2 linked regions of the Lepisosteus oculatus genome follow. The protein of the gene in region 1 purifies or fractionates together with the protein of each later gene. This does not show direct contact. Links are inferred from orthologs where the notes say so. Each region holds a gene or a part of one and is shown on either strand. Other genes may lie near its edges.

Region 1 (10,262 bases):
TGACAGAAAGCACACTGTGCGCAGCTGTGGCTGTTGGGGTGGAGGGGGCGATCTGCCCTGCCAGGACACCTTTCTCTCTACGCAAGGCCCTGATGAAGTCTGTATCCAGAACCTCAAAGAGCTGGGAGCATCCCACCTGCCCCCTTCTCCTTCAGGGGAGGATGTTAAAACGGGGGGGCTATCAAGAACTGCAGAAGTCCAACTAAGGGCAGGTTTTGCCAATACCTGAAGCACCCACTCAGGAGATAAGATCCAGAGGCAACTAGCACTGTCCAGGGCACCCCAGGGAATATTTAACTGCCCCCTTAGTGGGCGATGTTTGTTGGTGTATCCAGGTGTGCAAACCCAAGGTTTAACTTGCAGCTTTCCTATTTACTTCTCTACTTCAAGATTTTTTTTTTAATTGTTAAAGCAAAGGACAGCTCTCTGAAATGGAGAAGAGCACTAAATATCTAGCTTTTGTGTTGGGAATTAAATGAATTAAATCAAATCTAAAAAAAAATAAAGACATGAAAATGTTTTTTCTGGAGTCATTTGGAGTGTTTTTTTGTGTAACCTTGATCTTCAGGAGCTTTTAAATCATCAGCCCATACTACGGCAGGGGCTGTGTTCAGTTCACACAACTGACTAGACAGCCCTGCTGCAGACACACTGACTGACCCCCCAGGACCAGGACTGGGGCAGAGGCAACTGGTCACATGACCCAAGCTCCACCCCACAGTATCAGTCACACGGCCTCAGAACACACAGCTATGGGGGGGGGGGGGGGGGCGATATGCAAATCCATTTAAGCAAAAGAAAAGTGGTACAGCACTATCTTTGTTTCCTATTTAGCTCACACAATGTATATATTGGACAGCAGGTTAAACCCCACTGGTGTAGAAAGAGGTTCACCTGGCTCCAGGGCAGTGGAAGTGCAGCAGACTAGTTGCACTCTCAGTTAGATTTCACCCACGATCACAGCATTCCTGCATCACAGAACGCACTTTTACATCTCCCATTGTTCCTACTTTGCCCTCTCCCTCAATCCTGGTCCTGGTGACCCCCACACCTGCTCGGTTCCATTCCACCCCCCCAAATTAGACAATCAAAGCCCGTCTTCTTTGGAATATTTGCATTGTGGTTGTAGTCACAAGTTTGGGGTTTAATTTCACGTTAAACAAACACGCCGGTTAGAGCTTGACCGCATTGATGAGCCGCGAACAAACAGTTCAGGATACGGCAACAAAGCCTCTGACTGGGTCTGGAAGAAGAACGGGCAGGTGTGTGGGTCACCAGAACCAGCACCGGGAACCACTGCTCCACCCATCCAAAAAAAAAAAAACAGACAACAGGAAGCCTCCTTACATTGAACACAGAGGTTTATTTATAATTTACAAACGGACCGTGAACGTGTTTTTTTTAAAAAAAAAACTCAGACTATTTCATGCCAGCTCATGGGGAGACGCAGTCGAGAGAGAGAGTGCACCCCACACAACAGCTGGGGCCAGGCCCGGGGCCAGTGCCCGCGTGCAGAGGGGAGGAGAGGAGGAGGAGGGAGGGGCTGTACGCCAGCGACCTGTAGCGTAGCCACTGCCCAGTCCACTGTCCTTCACCCTAGTGTCCGTACCTGCAAGGGCAAGGAAAGCACAAATCAATCATTACACCAGGTAACAGCACCACCCACCCACCCACCCGCCCGCCCTGCCAGAGGGAACAGGATATTGCACACCAGACGATCCCGATTCCAGCACACAGGTGCACACACGCTACACACCTCTCGTCCTGGCAGACACGGACTGCACACCTGCTCTACAAACTGCGCGCCCCGCAAGCGTACAGCTCGCCTTTACCAGAACGCGATTCGCGAGACGCGAATGAATATTAATCAGCTCTTGGTTCGATCGCAGTGCCGCAGGAGAGCGTGCTACCTCGAATAATCAATAACCGTTAGACCGAGCTCGGTCCCGTCTCTGGGAGCACTGTGACTGGACAAACAGCTCATCAACATTCCACAATTCATCCCGAGTGTTGCTCTTCACGCCCAGGCTAGCCAGGAAGGGCGTTCATTCACAAAACAGACCTCCTCTATATATACACACCCCCCCCCCCCAGCCTAAAAACTCCATCCTGGTGCCAAAGCATATTTTAAACTATTTTAGTATGAGCAGGAAGGAGAGAGCCCTGTTCTGTTCTTTGTGTGTTCTGGACTGTGAGTAACTCTTCTTGGTGCCCTTCTCACTGTACTGATTGTACTGTATTATTATTATTGTATCATTCGTTACACTGTTTCTGTGTTAAGCTGCTGTTGCACTGCAGTTTCCCTCACGGGATCAATAAAGTATCTGTCTATCCAGGCAGGGATGCCCGGCAGGGGATCCTGTCTATCCTGGCAGGACACTCCAGGGGAGCTACTCACTTCTGGAACTCCCACTCCCGGTTGTCCAGGGGGCAGACCTGTCGCGTCTTCAGCCAGCGCGAGATGCAGTGGAAGTGGAAGGCGTGCTGCGGGAGAGCAAGGGGAGAGGAGGGGCGGTCAGCTTGGGGGTCTTTCCGAGAGGTCGGTCGAGCAGGGGGGGGGGGAGGGGGGCTCAGGTTCCAGATACCGGGGGCAGCTCTGGCTCCTGTTTCCACTCATCTCCACACCCCCCTTTCCAGACAGGGGGGTTCAGACAAGCGGCACGGATTACAGGAGGGGGGCGGGGCGTTTGCGGGTTCGCCCCCACGCCCGTAGGGGAACCCCCCTCGCGGCTACTCTGTTCGTTCACACGGCGCCAGTGCCACCCGTGTGCCCCTCTGAGGGGCTAGACAGGGCGAAAACCGGCTGTCTGGGAGAGCCCAGCGTGGCGGTGGCGTCTGTGCGGATGAGGCCCAGAGGAGGTCGAGGGAGGGAGGGAGGGAGAGCGCTCAGTCTTACATTGCAGACGCCCCAGGCCACAGTGCACTCCTCAGACGTAGCAGAAGCCTGGTTGGCCTGACATTCAATACCTGCAGAGAGAGAGAGAGAGAAAAACACAGCAGCGTGTTACCCTGTGAGCTTCAGAGGCACCTTAGGACTGGCACCTGAGTAAGACACCAGCGTCTGGATCTCATGTCTGTACACTCATACTGTGTCAGTGCATCAGTACAGTATAATTCATGTCTGTACACTCATACTGTGTCAGTGCATCAGTACAGTATAATTCATGTCTGTACACTCATACTGTGACAGTGCATTCACACAGCTCTGGGCTGTCAGTGTATTGGAGTCAGTATAATTAGTCTCAACACTCTAACCATGCCTGTACAGTCACACAGCTCTGCGCTGTCAGTGCATCAGTGTCAGAACAGTATAATTCATGTCTGTGCACTCTTACTGTGTCCTTGCATTCACACAGCTCTGCGCTGTCAGTGTTTTGCAGTCAGTACAGTAGAACTCCCATTTACTCACACAGGTCCATGATGTGGTTCCTGCAGATGGCACAGTTGTCCACCACGATATCCCAGGCCCACAGCGCTACTGCATTCCACTAGCAGCGGGGGGAAAGACAGAACACTTCACTTACTGACAGTGCATGCACCAACCTGGCTGACCCTGACCGGCCACCCGCTCGAGATGTGTCCACCCGCTCGTGTTCTCTGCCTGCATGTTGTTATTGCGACATTCGTGAGTCTCGCCCGGCCTCACATCGGGAGGGCCGAGTAATCCGGCAGAGCGGCGCTACTGGGCGCTGTTGTTGTTGTTGTTGTTGTTATTATTCATTAATTAATTATTATTTATTAAAAGGGGCATCTGGTGCTGTAAACCGTGTCCGAGGTGCTGAAAAGTGTATTGCTTTTTTCCCTCCCGACCAGCTTTGTCGGCGCTTGAGAAAAGAAACAGCTTCGTCATTCAAAAAAAGCGAGGAGAACTGAACCGGCTGAAACACGAATACACACTTGTTATTCTCAAAAAGCAGGCGCCCGACAAAAATAGTTTAAGCTGGCGCCCTCAGAAAAGCCTACGGAAATAAATCCGTAAGCCCATTAGCCATCGTTAGCTAACCACGCAAAAACACCGCAAAGCGTCCAGTATTACTCCCCAAACACCTGTATGTTACAACCGATTAACAACAGTCATCAACTTAATCTCTCTCCGTCCCTCCGTCCTTAATTTTTCCTCCTCGAATTACTCAAAGTACCTTTTTCACTTCGAAACGCTTCTTGCTGGCTCCGCTGTTGGTCCCGCTCGGGGCGTCCACATCCATCGCTGCCGCCATCTTGTCTCTGGGAACCCTGGCTCTTGAGCGCCTGCGCTGGCCGTCGCTTCCGGCGGCGAGCTGTGACATCACGGTCCCCATAACAACAGGGCCTGCGGTTCCACACGAAGCCTGACTTTGTACCTGCAGCCTGCCGGCCCGCCGCAGAAGGACGCGTTTGCGATGGTCCAGTGTTTTGCCCCCGACTGCAACCATCACAGCGAAAGAGAAACCTGCAAATTCTTCCGTTTCCCCAAGGATCTGAGGCAGTTCCGAGTTTGGCAAGAGCGATGCAGGTTGGCACGCCGTTTTGCGGGATAAACAGTTAAAAAGTGACATATGGCAGGTGTCTTCGTTTCACCAGTATGCCTCTGAAAAACCTGCAGCCTGTTTTGCGTCAGAGTATCGAGCTATTGAGTGACAGACCAAACCCCTGCCTGTTTTGACAGAAGGCTTTAGGTTGTCTGGTTGTAGTTTCTGTGAGCTTCTCTAAACGTGAAATGTGTCGTTCAGGAACAATAGGATGGCGATTCTTTGCCTTACAAGTCCTGTTCCTGTCCTGTCCCCCCACAAACACACAGAGAGGCCCTCTAGAGGCACCTGAACTGAGGGTCAGGCCAACCAGCCGGTCTTTTCTTCCAGGCGGCAGGACAAAGACCCGAGCGTCTTCTCCAGGCTCTGCAGCTGCCACTTCGCGGAGGGGAAGAAGGACAGGGGCCCGTCCATCTTCAAGACCCGGGCCACCGGCCCGCGGGCCTGGACGCCGCAGAAGAAGAGGAGGAACCGGTAAGCATCCTGCGAGAGGCAGGAGGGGGTGGCGTTCTCCCAGGGAGCCAGGCAGGACCATGGGGCACCGGATCTGGCCAGGACACTGGGGTTACACTCCTGCTCTTGTCGAGAGACGCCCTGGGATTTTTAATGACCACAGAGAGTCAGGACCTCAGTTTTATGTCTCATCCAAAGGACGGTGCCTTTTTACAGTATAGTGTCCCCGTCACTATACTGGGGCATCAGGACCCACACAGACCGCAGGGTGAGCGCCCCCTGCTGGCCCCACTCACACCTCTCCCAGCAGCAGCCTCAATTGACCCCAGGAGTCTCCCCTCCAGGTACTGGCCAGGCTCACCCTGCTGGGCTCCAGTGGGGCTGCCGGCTGGGAGCTGCAGGGTGGTGGAGCTGCTGGCCGTATCACTAGTGGGATAAAAGTGAAGAGGATTCCATTCTCCCGCCTGCAGGGCCCCCGGTGCTGAGCCTGCAGGGCCTGTGGTGCCGCTGGACGCGCCCAAGCAGCCCGAGCCTCTGCTGTTCCAGCCGGCGTCCCCTCTTGGCCCGGAAGGCGGCGCTCCGGGTCCCACTGGCGAAGAGGGTGGCGGGGAAGAGGAGCCCGGAGTCCCAGGAGGGGTCCTGCATCTGTCCCCTCCCTCCCGAGGTGAGGTCAGGGCCCGGGGAGATCGGGGGCGACATGAGGACAGTCACAGAGGAGAAGAGGCCGTAACTGATGGCTCTACTTTTTCAGTAACTAACAGATCTGTCTGCCATAAATAACCGGACACCTCTTGGCAAAAGCCAGGGTATCAAAACCATGGCAGGGAAGCTTGTTCCCCACTCCCGCCCTTTGCGTAAAGTAGCCCCCCCGTCCCGATTAGAGGATCGAATCCAACCGTTTTGGGGAATTAACTGTGCTTCACACCTTAACTTTTACCATAAATTGTCCACAATTTTAAACTTAAGGCCTGTGTTTTTGCTTTTATTGCAACAGTTTGATTGGAATTTGCTACAGTAATGTAAGCTTGAGCATTGAGCCTTCTCGTTATTAATTTTTTTACAGCGTGTAAGAACATGTGGGCTGTGTTCCTGCTAGTGACTTGCCGGTTCTGGTGAATCACAGATGCCGACTGTTTATTGCTCAGTTTATTCATCCATTCGGGACGTGTTAGACTGGGCCTGAACCCAGGGTGTCGGTCAGCACACGGGATGCGATGGAAGCCGCTGTGCCTTGTGTTCTCCGCAGCTCCAGCGCCGCCCAGCTGGCTGCCGGCTGCAGCAGACGGCTCCGCGTCGCAGGCGAGTGTGGAGAGGCATGTGGGCTCCCCTCAGGACCCCATCGCAGAGCTGCAGGTAGGTGATACTGCTGCTGTTACTGTCACTGATACTACTGTTACTGCTACTAATACTTCCACTGACACTGCCCCTGCTGTCACTAATACTACCACTGATACTACTGTTACTGCTACTAATACTACCACTGACACTGCCCCTGCTGGCACTGATACTACCACTGACACTGCCCCTGCTGTCACTGATACTACTGTTACTGCTACTAATACTACCACTGACACTGCCCCTGCTGGCACTGATACTACCACTGATACTACTGTTACTGCTACTAATACTACCACTGACACTGCCCCTGCTGGCACTGATACTACCACTGATACTACTGTTACTGCTACTAATACTACCACTGACACTGCCCCTGCTGGCACTGATACTACCACTGATACTACTGTTACTGCTACTAATACTACCACTGACACTGCCCCTGCTGGCACTGATACTACCACTGATACTACTGTTACTGCTACTAATACTACCACTGACACTGCCCCTGCTGTCACTGATACTACCACTGATACTACTGTTACTGCTACTAATACTACCACTGACACTGCCCCTGCTGTCACTGATACTACCACTGATACTACTGTTACTGCTACTAATACTACCACTGACACTGCCCCTGCTGTCACTGATACTACCACTGATACTACTGTTACTGCTACTAATACTACCACTGACACTGCCCCTGCTGTCACTGATACTACCACTGATACTACTGTTACTGCTACTAATACTACCACTGACACTGCCCCTGCTGGCACTGATACTACCACTGATACTACTGTTACTGCTACTAATACTACCACTGACACTGCCCCTGCTGTCACTGATACTACCACTGATACTACTGTTACTGCTACTAATACTACCACTGACACTGCCCCTGCTGTCACTGATACTACCACTGATACTACTGTTAATGTTACTTATACTACCACTGACACGACTACTATTACCACTATTATTTTTTTCTTGAAAAAAAAAGTCATGGCCTCCTGATAACCCCCCTCTCTGAACTGGCTCCATCACTCTGCTCTCCTCCCCACTGAGAGCTGGTGTGTGGGGAGCGGACTGGAGCATCATCCAGGTGGGGTACACACTGGTGGGGGTGGAGGGGATCCCCAGTACCTGTACAGCGCTGTGAGTGGAGTGTCCAGAAAAGCGCTATATAAGAGTAATCAATTATTATTAGTATTAGTATTAGCAGTAGTATTATTATTAGCTGTCTCTACTAGTAACACAACTCAAGCTGCTGCCTTTGCAGATTAGTGTGCAAGAGGGGGTGGGAGTGTGGAACAAGCTGCCCAGCCATGCTGTAAGATGATATGCAGTATATAAGCACATACAATAAGATAAAAACACATGGAGAACGTTTTTCAGGGTTTGATGTGGAATGCCATCTGCAGTATCAAAGGTAGGTTCAGAAGTGTGCTGTCTATACACAGAAATGGATTCTGGAAATATTCTGAATGTTTGAAATAACTGTATGGAAAAAAAAGGGTAAATGTGAAGTTAATAATGACACTGACTTAAAAAACGTCAGGTTCCACCGAGATTTGAACTCGGATCGCTGGATTCAGAGTCCAGAGTGCTAACCATTACACCATGGAACCATGTGACTGAGCCGTGTCGGTCGTCTCTTTTCTGTATTTGAGTAGAACGACAAGCGCTCTCATTCGATGCCGATGTCGATTACTTGTTGAGCACGCGTTTCGGGTTAAGGTGTGTTTTAACTGACTGTGTTAGAAACGCGTTATGTAGACGGGTATATTAGGATACAGCGAAGGGAACGTGCGTCTATTCCGCGCAAGTGTACGAAACTACAAATCCCAGAACCCTCAGCGGATCTCAGCGATGAACCTCGGCTGCGATTGGTGGGATAGGTCTACCGGTTAGCCAATAGGGAGCGAGATACTTGACCGGCCCTAACTCGGCATGGAGCGCGTAAGTTATGTTGTTTTGTTCGGCAATTCTAAATACTTACAACTGCATTAATGTGCAGACAAAGGAAACAATATCCAAGACCGCTTGATGGTGTTTAAGCGTTCGCATGACTTAAACAAGTGTGCATTTTGTTTTTTTTTTAAACATCCCTCGGTTTTGCAGTGTATAGCCTTCGGGCGCTAACCTCTTGTTTTCGTTAAAGGGGAGCTGCGCTCACAATTTCTCAGACCAGGGTATTCGATCTCGGTAACAAAGTCGATTACTGCACGTTAAAAGAATCGCCAAATTTAACGCATGTGGAACGAAGCGCGACATCGTGAACTTTTGTGTAAGCACAGCGCGGTCGCCATGCTGTCGCAGGCGGGGGGTGGAGAGCAGCACGCGAACTCGTCACGGGCGAGAGAACGAGAGATCGCGAGAGCGGTGACGTAAAATCGGCCCTTCCTGCTCGCCGGCCGAGAAGCGTGATCTTCTATCTATAACAACATCACTCCTGTTTGTCCTTTTGGAGTCGCGCATGTGTCTCGGACGATGCCTCACTGTCGTGCCTTTGGCTGTTCAGAACATAGTGGCCGCACCCAAAGCAGGGGCTCTCATCAGCAGAAGGTCAGGCTGTTTCCTTTTCCAAGAGATATTGAACTGGCCAGGCGGTGGCTAGCCAACATGGGCGCTGAAGCCGGGCCCGTCGACACGTTCCTCGAGGAGATTCAGCGCGATGCGCGATCAGATAAGCACAGGTTGTGCAGCAAGCACTTCACCCCAGAAATGTTCGAACGCGATCTGCAAGCTGAGTTAACAAGTAAGTAGGTTTTGTCAGCAAAGCCGCTGGGTTGAAGTCAGGTCAGCTGCGCTCATTCAGATCGGCTGTCCTGGCATCCACACGGGCTGTGACACGACACGTCCTCCAAGAATATCAAGCCCTGCTAGAATCTTTCTGTCACGTCTGATGTACCAGAAAATAAATGAAAGAGCACTTTTGTCAAATTTGGGAAGGAATATGAGCGTATTTATGTTGGTTGGCAGATCGCTCTTTTTTTTTTGCAAACCTTAGATTAACTATCTAAAAAAACACGTCGCCTTGTATGGATGGGCTTCATGAGGATATTTAAACTGAATAAAGTGGCGTCATCTGCATGGGCTAAAGCATGTGACTCATTGTGACAGTAATAGATCGGTTTCAGATGTTGTCAGTTTGGGATAGGACCTGTGTGTTGAGCTTTTCTCTGCTTTGGAGTTTACGTGTTTGTGAAGCCCGACGGTCCGTAATATAAAATATATTCATTTCAGATACTGAGCCAAAACTTAGGCTCAAGCCCGGGGCCGTTCCTACCGTTTTTACTCAGGAAAAGCAACCGATGAAAACAGAAAGCAGTGGGAGGGCCAAATCAGCGCTCAATAGAGAACGGGTATGTGAGTATACCTTGGGCCTAGAGTACGGAGAAGCCTCTACTCTTTGTAACCTCTTTAAAAATGTGTAGTTTTCCTCTCCGCAGGTGAGGTGGAGAACTACACTTCCCACGATGCCCGGGGGGGGGGGGGGCTTGTCCATTTCCTGTCTAATGACCTCGAGCTGGGAGAGATTAGCTACTTCCTCCCTGGCTTTAAACAGCAAACCCAAGTTTGGTGTCTTCTGTCTGAAGAGGGCCTGAAGGCTAGATATGAAAATATTTAACAAGAAAGTTTGATATCTGTGTGTAAAATTTAGATGCAAGTAATAGCCCTAATAACACTATTTTGTTCATGATTGATTTTGGTTTTCCCTGATCAAGGATTCGACACAATAAATAAGTAACATAATTTTGATGTGCACCGAATTTGAAATGACATTCCCAGCCATTTGAATCAATACGTGAGTTTTGACAATACAGCAGCCGATTGATGCTGTAATGTTTTTTTTTAGAAACTCCTATCGTATCTTTAAAAAAAATTCCAAATGATCTAGCCAGGTATGTTTTTGTTCTGCCTTGCTGTCCGGTGTAAATGGAGATCAGCCTCAGTTTG
Region 2 (9,926 bases), on another chromosome or scaffold:
ACAAATTAGTAATATTAAGAATACATTGATGTTTGCACGCATAAGAACTATATAGTCTAGACTCTCATCCACGTTCCAGCAAACCTGATATTAATTCAAATGTCCTGTTCACATAAAATGCATTAAGATAATGATCTGACAAGAATGTCAACATCCATGGTACAACACCAATACTATGTACTACATATAAACAGGTGAAGAAAAGCCTCCCACTGCTTGCAGCTTCATCAGGTATTCCAGGCTGCAGGCTCTTGTACCAACTATACTTGTAAAGAAAAGCAATGTTAGCAATTAAACAAATCATGAAAACAGAGAAAGAGATCTGTATTCGGCCATGTAAATGAATTAAAAAAAAACACAGGACTAGGAACTAACTAAAAAGTAACAATTAGACAAGACATTCCTATTTCTTCCTTGATGTTTTGATGCATTTTAACCAACAGATTCAATAATTGTATTTCAAATCAGAATTATTCTTTAGCCCAACATTGTTAATTCTTCAGTTGCAAAGAATAGCATTGCTGTGCTTTCATGAGTCCTTTACCTGCCATTAACAGCACCAGGTCAGAGAGTAAAATGGATATAAGAAGCACAAATGCCGCTCCCACAAAGGAAAACCACCTATGCATTCCTGCAGCTTAAATCACACGCTCTTTTGCATGGGGTGTGGGGCATGACACCTTGATTGGCTTTTGCTGGAAACTTGACAAAGGCCTACCATGCCAAGACGGATTGCCACACACTGTCTACGCAGTTATCTCAATCAAAACGTTAACTGTCTGCTGTGCTCGGATGGGCCATCTTTGGTTATTTCTTATCAGAAATAGTGTCAACAATGCTTACATCCCTATTCCCTCCCCACCCCCCATCTTTTTGAATGAGCATCACTCACTACAATGGAAACTGATGGAAAGTATTAAACAATTTCTTACATCTCTACAGTGCTTTTCATCCCCCAAAACCCCAGTGTTCCACATATTTCAGGGGAACCACTTCATCCACCACTAAAATGTAGCGTCCAACTGAGTGACACGCAGCAGCCATTATGCACCAGAAGGCTCACTACATAGCAGATGAGGCAGAGAAGTGAAAATGACTTCAATTGAGTTGAGGGGGCAATTCAGAGAGGGCCGATTGTGCAAGCCAAAAGCAGAATGACACTTCTCTTACAAACAGCAACACGTGATACTTAAAAGTCATGTAGTCAGGACTTCAGTTTAATGCTCTATACAAAGGTCAGCACCTCTTACATTACACTGTCCAGTTGCCATAATAGGCTTTGACATCACTGTACAGAAGGAAAAGTGCCACCTACTGGTCTATCAATACCACTTACAGTGGCAACCTGGTCTTCCATCCCGAATTTGACAATGTCCAACAAGATAGGATGAGATCAGGCTACAAGATGGTAATGCTCCTCCATACTTTGATGTGCAACGGAGTTATAGCCTATCTGGCAAACAATGGACACAAGACAAGATATACCCTGGACGGGACGCAAGTATGTCCCCGGACCATGGTAGGAAACCAGAGCACCAGGCAGAAACTCACATGAATGCAGGGAGAATATAAAACGCCATGCAGATAGTTCCCCAGACACTGAACCCAGGGCTCCAGTGCTATGATGCAGCAATGCTAACCTCTGCACCACTGCGCCATCTGTGCACAAAAGACACCCATCCATTCTCTAACCTCTTCATCCAGTTCAAGGCTGCGGGGGGACCTAACCCAGCAAGCAGGGGGCGCAAAACAGGATAGATCTTGGACAGGATGCTAGTCCATTGTAGGGCACACACTCACACCAGAATTTTTCTAGAAGCCAATTAACTCATCTTTAGGTTTATGGGCTATGGGAAGAAACCAGAACACCCAGAGGAAACCCACATGAACACAGAGAGAACATATAAACTCCACACAGATAGCAGCCTAGGTCTGGAATTGAACACCGGGCCACACTGCTGCGAAACAGCTATGCTAACCAACTTCTACAGCCACCATGCCAGCCACCACAAAAGACGTTCACCATTTGATTTTTTTCTAAACTGTAAATTGTTTGGTAAAGCATTTTAAATCCTGACAGACTCAAATTTAGCAAGTGTCACCATACAGATTTCACTGCCCATTTGTGTCATAGTAACAGTTTTACTACTATAGTTTACATTTTGGCAAAACATGACACTGGACTACAGGAAATGTCAAAACATGTTTTTATTTCTCTCCCCCAGTACATTGATCTCTCTCTAGCTATGGAGAAATACACACAAGAACAAAAAAAAATTGTTTTCCAGAAATCAACATGTGCCCGCATAAAAAATAGCAAAACTAACATACCATTAGCAGGTATTGGCACTTACAAATTATTTTAAGTAAAAATATATATAATTCCCCCCCATGTCTGTAAAAGACTACTGGTAGACTGGTAGCAGTTTGGATTATGTTCCTAAAGCATTTGTAAAAGTTGACCTAAATTTGAAATTTCTATAAACTTTGTATGTGGAGTTTTTATGTGCTTTCTGATCATGTTTCTTTTTCAGGAATTTCATAACATTTTACTGCTTTTTGTGACATGACTGAAGAGATAAATAATATAATAGAGTCTATATGATCAGACTGTAACAACCTCTCAAGAAACTAAAAGGCTGAAAAACATGGAAATTCCTGAGAACTTAATCAACCTCGGCCCTGCTGTCACTAAAAGTCAAACTGCACAAATGAAAATCCCTTATTGACACCTCCTGCTTGAGTTGCAAGACATGACCCAATATTCAGGAATAGCTTGATCAACATTTACCAATATACTAAAAAACCTTTTTTTCCTGCGTAATGTAAGACACTGGGCCTCTCACTGTACGTCACTTCGAAACCGAAAATGTGTTTACGTAAAAAAACAGACTTTTGTCTACGCGTTGTTTTAAAATGCCTACTTCTGAAGACAATGGTGCGTGATTGATCATCACAGATGCCAATCGGCACCCAACCCAAGGCCTGAATATACGAAAGACCCCATGAAAGGCATGATATACTGCGGTTATGCACAAAAATAAACCAAACACAAATCAATTACATGTTTAGATTATTAACATTTCCACCCGTCACTAGGTCGATTCTAGTGTTTAGTAAGCTCCTGTAGCTAAGTACAGCCTCAACTACGCAGTAAACCCACCGTAAACATACACCATAGTACTGCTTGCTATCAGGGATACCATTTAAAAGACAAATGATTGCTAAGGGGGTTGCCAAGTAAGTTAACATTAAACACTACACCCCCTCAAACAGGGAAGAACACTAAGACGAAAAACACAACGCAAGTAACTATTTAGTAAAACACGATGTGTTAATAATAATTTTGGGGGGGAGAAATTCTTTCATTGTTTAAAATAAATGTTATCATAGTTACACTGGAAACGACGATCCCCAAACAGTACTCACATCAGCAGGGATTAGGAGCAAGCCAAGCCAAACAAAGCGCGGCCTATCCTATCGGCCACTAAAGCGAAGCCTCGCGTTTTCCTAATGTGAGTCTACCAAACAGTACGGCCCACAGCCCACCGGCTGTAAACAGGGCACAAGGCGAAATCGTTTTGCATTGTACGTAACACTACAGTAATATCTTTCAAAAACACAACCTTTCACCGGTAATATATAAAGACTAATTCTTACCTCTTTCTCCGTTGTTCCTTTCCGGCTGCACCGGGCGCGGCCTCGACACTCGCCTGGGTCTTCTGTTGGTTGCTCTGACGGAGTTCATTTGGGGAGTTTATTATTTTTTAAAAAATTCGAACCCTTCCCTATAATTTGCCTAAATTTTCTTAACGTTCAACCCAATTTAAAATTCCGTTTTCCCCCTAATGTAAAAAAAATGCTTATCCCGTCTCGGAATCGTTATTTTTTGGATGTTATTTATGTTTTTCTTAATGCTCCCCCTGTACTCCTCTGTCTCAGCTCCGTCTCACTCTGGCAGGAGGAGCCATTTACTCACAGAGAGACACACTCACAAAAAAATATCACACGGGAAGACTCTCCACCAATCGCAGGCAACGGTTCATAGTTTTTAGAAGCCACTGCAAATAGGAATGCCTCTTTTAAAATACTTAGTAGGGTTCTGACTTGGATGCCGGAGAGTGGAAATAAAAAGGTACCACAAAATCGTTAAAGCGCAGTTCGGTGAAATACACCATCGCCTTAGCTGGGCCAGCTAGGCAATATAGTCTTGTTATCACTTTCAGCTGACAGGAAACTGATTTCTAAATCAAATGCGTGGAAAGAGTCATCATTAGTTACAGCCATGATATACTTGCATGTTATTAATGCACAAACCGTTGTTGCATTTAAAGGTGCATAGACTCAGCATTCGTTGCATTCCATATTTTCATCATTTTAGATTATGTCTCGTCTGTGTAGATTTAAGGATTTTTTTTTAAATAAGATAATGCGATGTATGCTTTCCTTATGTATATTCAAAAAAAATATTTGCATGCTGACCAAAACCACGGATAATTAGTATGACGTATGAGAAAGTCTTAATGAGTTCTGTACGCATGCAATATTTATTTTACTGGTATGCCTCTACATAATAATTAGTCATTAGGGAACAATACAGCCATTTCATAGTATGGGGGGAGGGGGGTCGTTTAATAATAGGAACAAAGGTTTAGTCACGGAGGAAATAAAGGCACCAGTATTTATAATAGCTTATTTTGGGTTGTTGGTTTTGTTCATTTTATTTACTTAGAATCTCCATCTACAAAACAATATTCTATACAAGAAACTTGAAAAAATTACTTGATCCTATAAGATGACTCACTCACCTGGGCCAAACACATCAGGAAGATCACAAATGAAATGGGGCTGTTTGAAATCACTTTGAAACTCCTCCGTAACATTGTCCTTTAAAGGGACAATTTGAAAACTCTGATATAACCTGAAATCTTTGTGAGGTGGGAGAAAACTGAAGCACCCAGCGAAATCCCACGTGAACATGCAAATTCTACCGAGACAGGTGCCCAAGCAGAAATAAAGCCCAGGAGGCAAGGAGTAGACACCATGTCACTTGACCTTTTATGCCTTGATAAAGACTGTAGAAAATAATTACAAACAATACAATGTAATGAAGGACAATGAATTGAAGAAGTGTGGTCACTCAAATTAAAATCAATATAGTTCAAGTAGGTAGATGCATCAGCATGCGTAGGCTGCAAAGAAACAAGTAAAGGTTTATTTCCTGCTGAAAAGAAAAGGAAGGAAACAACATTTCGGCTGTGGAGCCTTCTTTGGGTGTACATTGAAGAGCGTTGATACCTGAAGAAGATTCCACAGCTGAAATGCTGTGTTTCCTTTCTTCTTTTTTCAGCATGAAATAAACCTTAACTTGTTTCTTAAAATAAAAATATGTTGTTTCCTCACTGTCTGTTTCAATGTAAGATACGATAAGATCACTATTGGCCATACACAATTTCTTGCATTAGGAATTTGTCTTTTTCACATATCCCAACTTGCTCTCCATGAGACACACAGACAGGGAGAGAAGCTTGGGGTCAGAGCACAGGGTCAGCACCCCTGGAGCAGTTTGGGTTAAGGGCCTTACGTAGGGGCCCAACGAAGTAGGACTCCTCTGCCGGACGCTGGATTTGAACCAGCAACCTTCCAGCCACAGGTGCAGATCCTTCCAGCCACAGATCCACTGCACCTCCCATGGTAATACTCTGTACTGTACATACTGTACTGTGAAGTGTAGCACTAACACAGCCCCTGGAATGACACAAAGTGTAATGGGTACTAAGCACCGGTTAATAGCAACATGTTCACACAAATGCTGGAGTAAACATGAGGAGAGATTTGTGTTTTCTAATTGTAAACATAGAAGGCCTGATGCAAGAAAACATTTCTTCTCCCCTGAAAGGTGATCTCTAAGCCCAACCCTAAAACTACAAGATTATGATTTAGTTGATAAGAAGATCCTGAGCCATTTCAGCCTCTTTCCACTCCAAACCCTTCTGCAAAATGGCTTTCTGCACTTCACCCTTATGGGGCTGAGTTAGAATTTCATTTAATTTTTCTCAGTTTAATTCTTCTGTTAGTTTTTACAATGGTTTCTGTGCCAAGGGCATTTGTTTAAAGACTCATAGGTTTGAAATTACTTGCATGTACTAAAACACCACCAGGTTCTTATTAATCCAACCAACCAACTGTCCCAGTTGTTAATATCTGGCTAAACATTAACTGCACTTATCTTAACAGTCCAATGGCAATTTGCCTGTGTTTCTAGTATGTATTTTTAATTACAGCTGCTTTTCCCAGACTAATAGCTAATAGCTTTAGCATGTAGTTGGTACATAGACACAGTGGATATATTCAGTGACTTTGTACAGGTTTAATAATCTCCAGTTGTTTACATGATTTAAAAACAGTATAAATACAGTATGTAAGAGCTTTTGGTGAAATGTCTCCATCACATATTGTTTTAACTTTTTTTGACATTGATAATGCTCACTGTAAATTCATACCTGATTCACACCTGTATGAAATATGTGGACCAATGGATTTTAATGGTCATTAAATTTTAATGACCACTCTCTGTGGTCATTAAAAAATCCCAGGGCGTTTCTCGAAAAGAGTAGGAGTGTAACCCCGGCGTCCTAGCCAAGTTTCCCATTGGCCCTTACCAATCATGGCCTCCTAATAATCCCCCTCTATGAATTGGCTTCATTACTCTGCTCTCTTCCCCACTGATAGCTGATGTGTGGTGAGTGTTCTGGCGCGCTATGGCCAGATTATTATTATTATTATTATTATTATTATTATTATTATTATTATTATTATTATTTGACTGCTCAATTTATGACAGGGCTGACCTCACGAAGGTCCATACCATAATTTGAGCCCTTCCCATTTCTGGAAAGGTATGTGTTACAATGCGATCCAAAAATAAGGAAATCCAAACATCTATCCATTATCAGGAAGCTACTTATCTGGGAAACTATCCCAGAAGCATAGAATGATTAAAAAATATATATGTCCCAAACCAAACACTATTCCTTTGCAGGACACACACTAATATTAAAGCATGTGTGTACAGTATAAACATTGATAGTTTAGAGACACAAATTAACTTCTCCAACTTCAGCATGTGAGAGAAATAAGTTTTTTTTATCTTGTTTTGGGTCCTAGATGTAGAACGGTTTACTATATCCCACTACTAAAGAGTCACAATTAAAACCTCTGGGACAATGCTAGAATGAATGATTTATCAGTGAGTCTGATCTTGTATATTTATGTTTTGTTTTTTGGGGGGCAAATTTAAAGCAAATAACAGTATTCACAGGCTTGTTAAATTGTATCTTGGCACCAAAAGAAGCTGATGATGGTGTGGGATCCAGGTAGAATACTCAATATCTTTCCCAAAATATAATACAGCAAAACACTGATTGCATCACATTTTGGGTGTGTCCTTTGTTAAACCAGCAACTCAAGTAACCACAGAGTTTTGCTTCATGGTAGAAGAGACAGAGGTGCACCTTTCAGTAAATTATTGCAGAGACTTTTTAGGGAAAAAAAAATCTGCTCAGGTTGCTATCCCCTAAACAAACGTTCTGGTGAAGGAGGACCCCTTGAATGCTTACTTTTATCATTTCATATTTTGGGAACCACCTATTACGTCTCTGTTTATATTGTCCACATTTTGGATCTGCCAAATGATAACAAGCCCGACTCTTTCACTTTGCCTATTGACAGGTTAACCCAAGTGTATGCAGCACAGGTAGACACAACTGTGCAGCTCAAAATGCTGCAGCTCTCTTTTTCAAAAACCCAGACAGTGCTTGCCCAAATGCACACTGCCACTTGGGGATTCTCATTAGTGGATGATATCTAGATTATCAGATTATTAGAGTTTTTAATTGCATAATCTCTCAGGCACTCATTTCTTTTTCTACAGTATAATAAAGTCAATTCCTGTCTGAAAAATGAAGAATGGTTTTCATACAGTTTAGATTAACGTCTCCCTTTTGAAAGTTAAATAAACACTGATTAGCCCTTCCAGTGAAAGAATATGCTGTGAATTTTCCAGACAGTAAAAGGAATTTGGTTAAGAAGCTGTTTATGATGGCTTGCTAACTTTCCAGAAGCCCCCCTCTGTACTACTACTACTCAACCCTAACCTCTATCCCTAAGCATAACCCCAGCTTTGGCTCTCAATTGTGCGTACAGGCTGCTGAAGCTGCATACATTCAGACACGTCTGGGGAATTTATTATTGGAAGAACTGGCAAACTGCACCTGTGAAGGAGAGCTGCTTCTCGGTTGTCTGCCCCTGCAGAGTGTGCGTTTCCGTGGCTCTGGGCTGGCACAAAGCCACCACTCTGTTTCTCACACACGTTTCCTTCGCAACAAGTCAGCCCGTGTCATCAGGAGCTGACTGTGGCTTTGCTGTTGTCGTGGGTTAACTGGGCGCAGCCCTCCTACTCCAGCAATTAAAAAGAAAAAGATCCGTGCCCTGCTGATCAAACGTTTGTACTGCCTCGACCCCCCATCACCACCAAGACCTTGCTGGTCTCTCCTCTCTCAACACACCCTTCACCCTCACTGCTTTCCTGTCATAGTACAGCTCAGCCACCCATATTCATCAACTTCGGCCACGTTATTTTCTAATAAGAGACTGAAACAATACCCTGCTTAAGTGACAAATAAGCGTGGTTCGACAATCAATGAAATAAACTATTCTATTTTCCAAAGTAATACATTTTCTTGTTGATGTGCATATGCTGTGTGGCTTTCTTGCACAATTTTAAACTTGCAAGCCTTTAAAATACTACTACTAAAGCTAGTAATTGCAATATTAGTGTAAATATTTGTAGTATACTGTTTGGCACAAAAAGAAATAAATCCTTTAATTACATTTACTGTGCATTTCTTAAATACTACAGACACATATTGTGTTTCAGTTACAATAATTGTCTTTCCAACTCATGATCAACTGGGCAGCATTGTCATTGCAAAATAGTACCACCTGCTGGGAAACCAGGGAACAGCACCAACTATGTACTCATTCCTTGCATTTCATTGGCATTAAAGTACAGAGTAGCATTCTAGTGTACACTTACTGCTGCCTACCAGCGAATCTTTTCTTTACATGATTGTGCTGATGAAAGACACAATTGTGAGTACCAGCATTCCATGAATTTTCCATGAAGGAATTTCATCCAATGCCTCTTTATTCTTGTGCCACTGGCTGCAGTGACCTCAGAGTGTTAGTATTCTGACTAACACTCTGAAGAATGGAAATCTTTACTCTACAGATTTAACTTTTGTCACTTTATTAGTTGAGTTCGGCACATATTAATTGTATCAATACTTAGTCATTAATATCCATATCCATGTTGTTAGATTTCAGAAGCCACAGAACTGTACTCTGTAGCAGAAAAGTACTTAAAATTCAACCTTAATCTTCTCCAATAAGTTAAAAAATTAAATATATATTCAAACTCAATATGCCAGCATGTCTTGCAATAGACATATATTCCGCAATAACAGCTCAGTATCTGATCACTGTACATGGTTAGACTTTATGAGCCTGAGACATGTACCAAGACTTGGAACATAGGCAGCCTAGTAATAATTCTGGGATGGGTTAAGGAAATATTGATATCTCTCCTAACACTTCCTGTTACAGTAACTCCTTAGATTAAGTTGGATAAATAGAGGGTTAATAGATATTCTATTAATAACACATCCATCCATCCTTGTCTAACCTCAGCACTGCAGTGTATCTATGTACAGTATGCTGCATTAACATTATACAGAAGATCTGTAAATAATAAACTGATAATTAATGAAACACCTATTAAAGGCCTTATCAAAACATTGTCTAAATTGTGGTCCATGATACGCAATTCTTCACTGCAGAAAGTCAGTTAAATTACATCTGATCTG

Evidence for each region. The genes of interacting proteins can lie anywhere in the genome.
Region 2: the proteins of rbx1 (region 1) and fbxo11b purify together in Homo sapiens (co-immunoprecipitation; 4 studies listed by BioGRID and IntAct, with this or other methods). This does not show direct contact. The link is inferred for Lepisosteus oculatus from reciprocal best matches to the Homo sapiens genes RBX1 and FBXO11.

What each region holds. Positions count from the first base shown.
Region 1 is NC_090707.1:38,080,143-38,090,404, forward strand, and holds rbx1 (E3 ubiquitin-protein ligase RBX1), read right to left. Parts: upstream 4,250-10,262; 5' UTR 4,218-4,249; coding exon 4,140-4,217; intron 3,489-4,139; coding exon 3,410-3,488; intron 2,968-3,409; coding exon 2,897-2,967; intron 2,485-2,896; coding exon 2,399-2,484; intron 1,610-2,398; coding exon 1,597-1,609; 3' UTR 1,344-1,596; downstream 1-1,343. Other genes in the region: l3mbtl2 (lethal(3)malignant brain tumor-like protein 2), read left to right, coding at 4,380-4,492, 4,839-4,982, 5,432-5,625, 6,208-6,314. UniProt on the Homo sapiens protein: E3 ubiquitin ligase component of multiple cullin-RING-based E3 ubiquitin-protein ligase (CRLs) complexes which mediate the ubiquitination and subsequent proteasomal degradation of target proteins, including proteins involved in cell cycle progression, signal transduction, transcription and transcription-coupled nucleotide excision repair.
Region 2 is NC_090712.1:12,876,397-12,886,322, reverse strand, and holds the start of fbxo11b (F-box only protein 11), read right to left. Parts: upstream 4,004-9,926; 5' UTR 3,749-4,003; coding exon 3,661-3,748; intron 1-3,660. UniProt on the Homo sapiens protein: Substrate recognition component of a SCF (SKP1-CUL1-F-box protein) E3 ubiquitin-protein ligase complex which mediates the ubiquitination and subsequent proteasomal degradation of target proteins, such as DTL/CDT2, BCL6, SNAI1 and PRDM1/BLIMP1.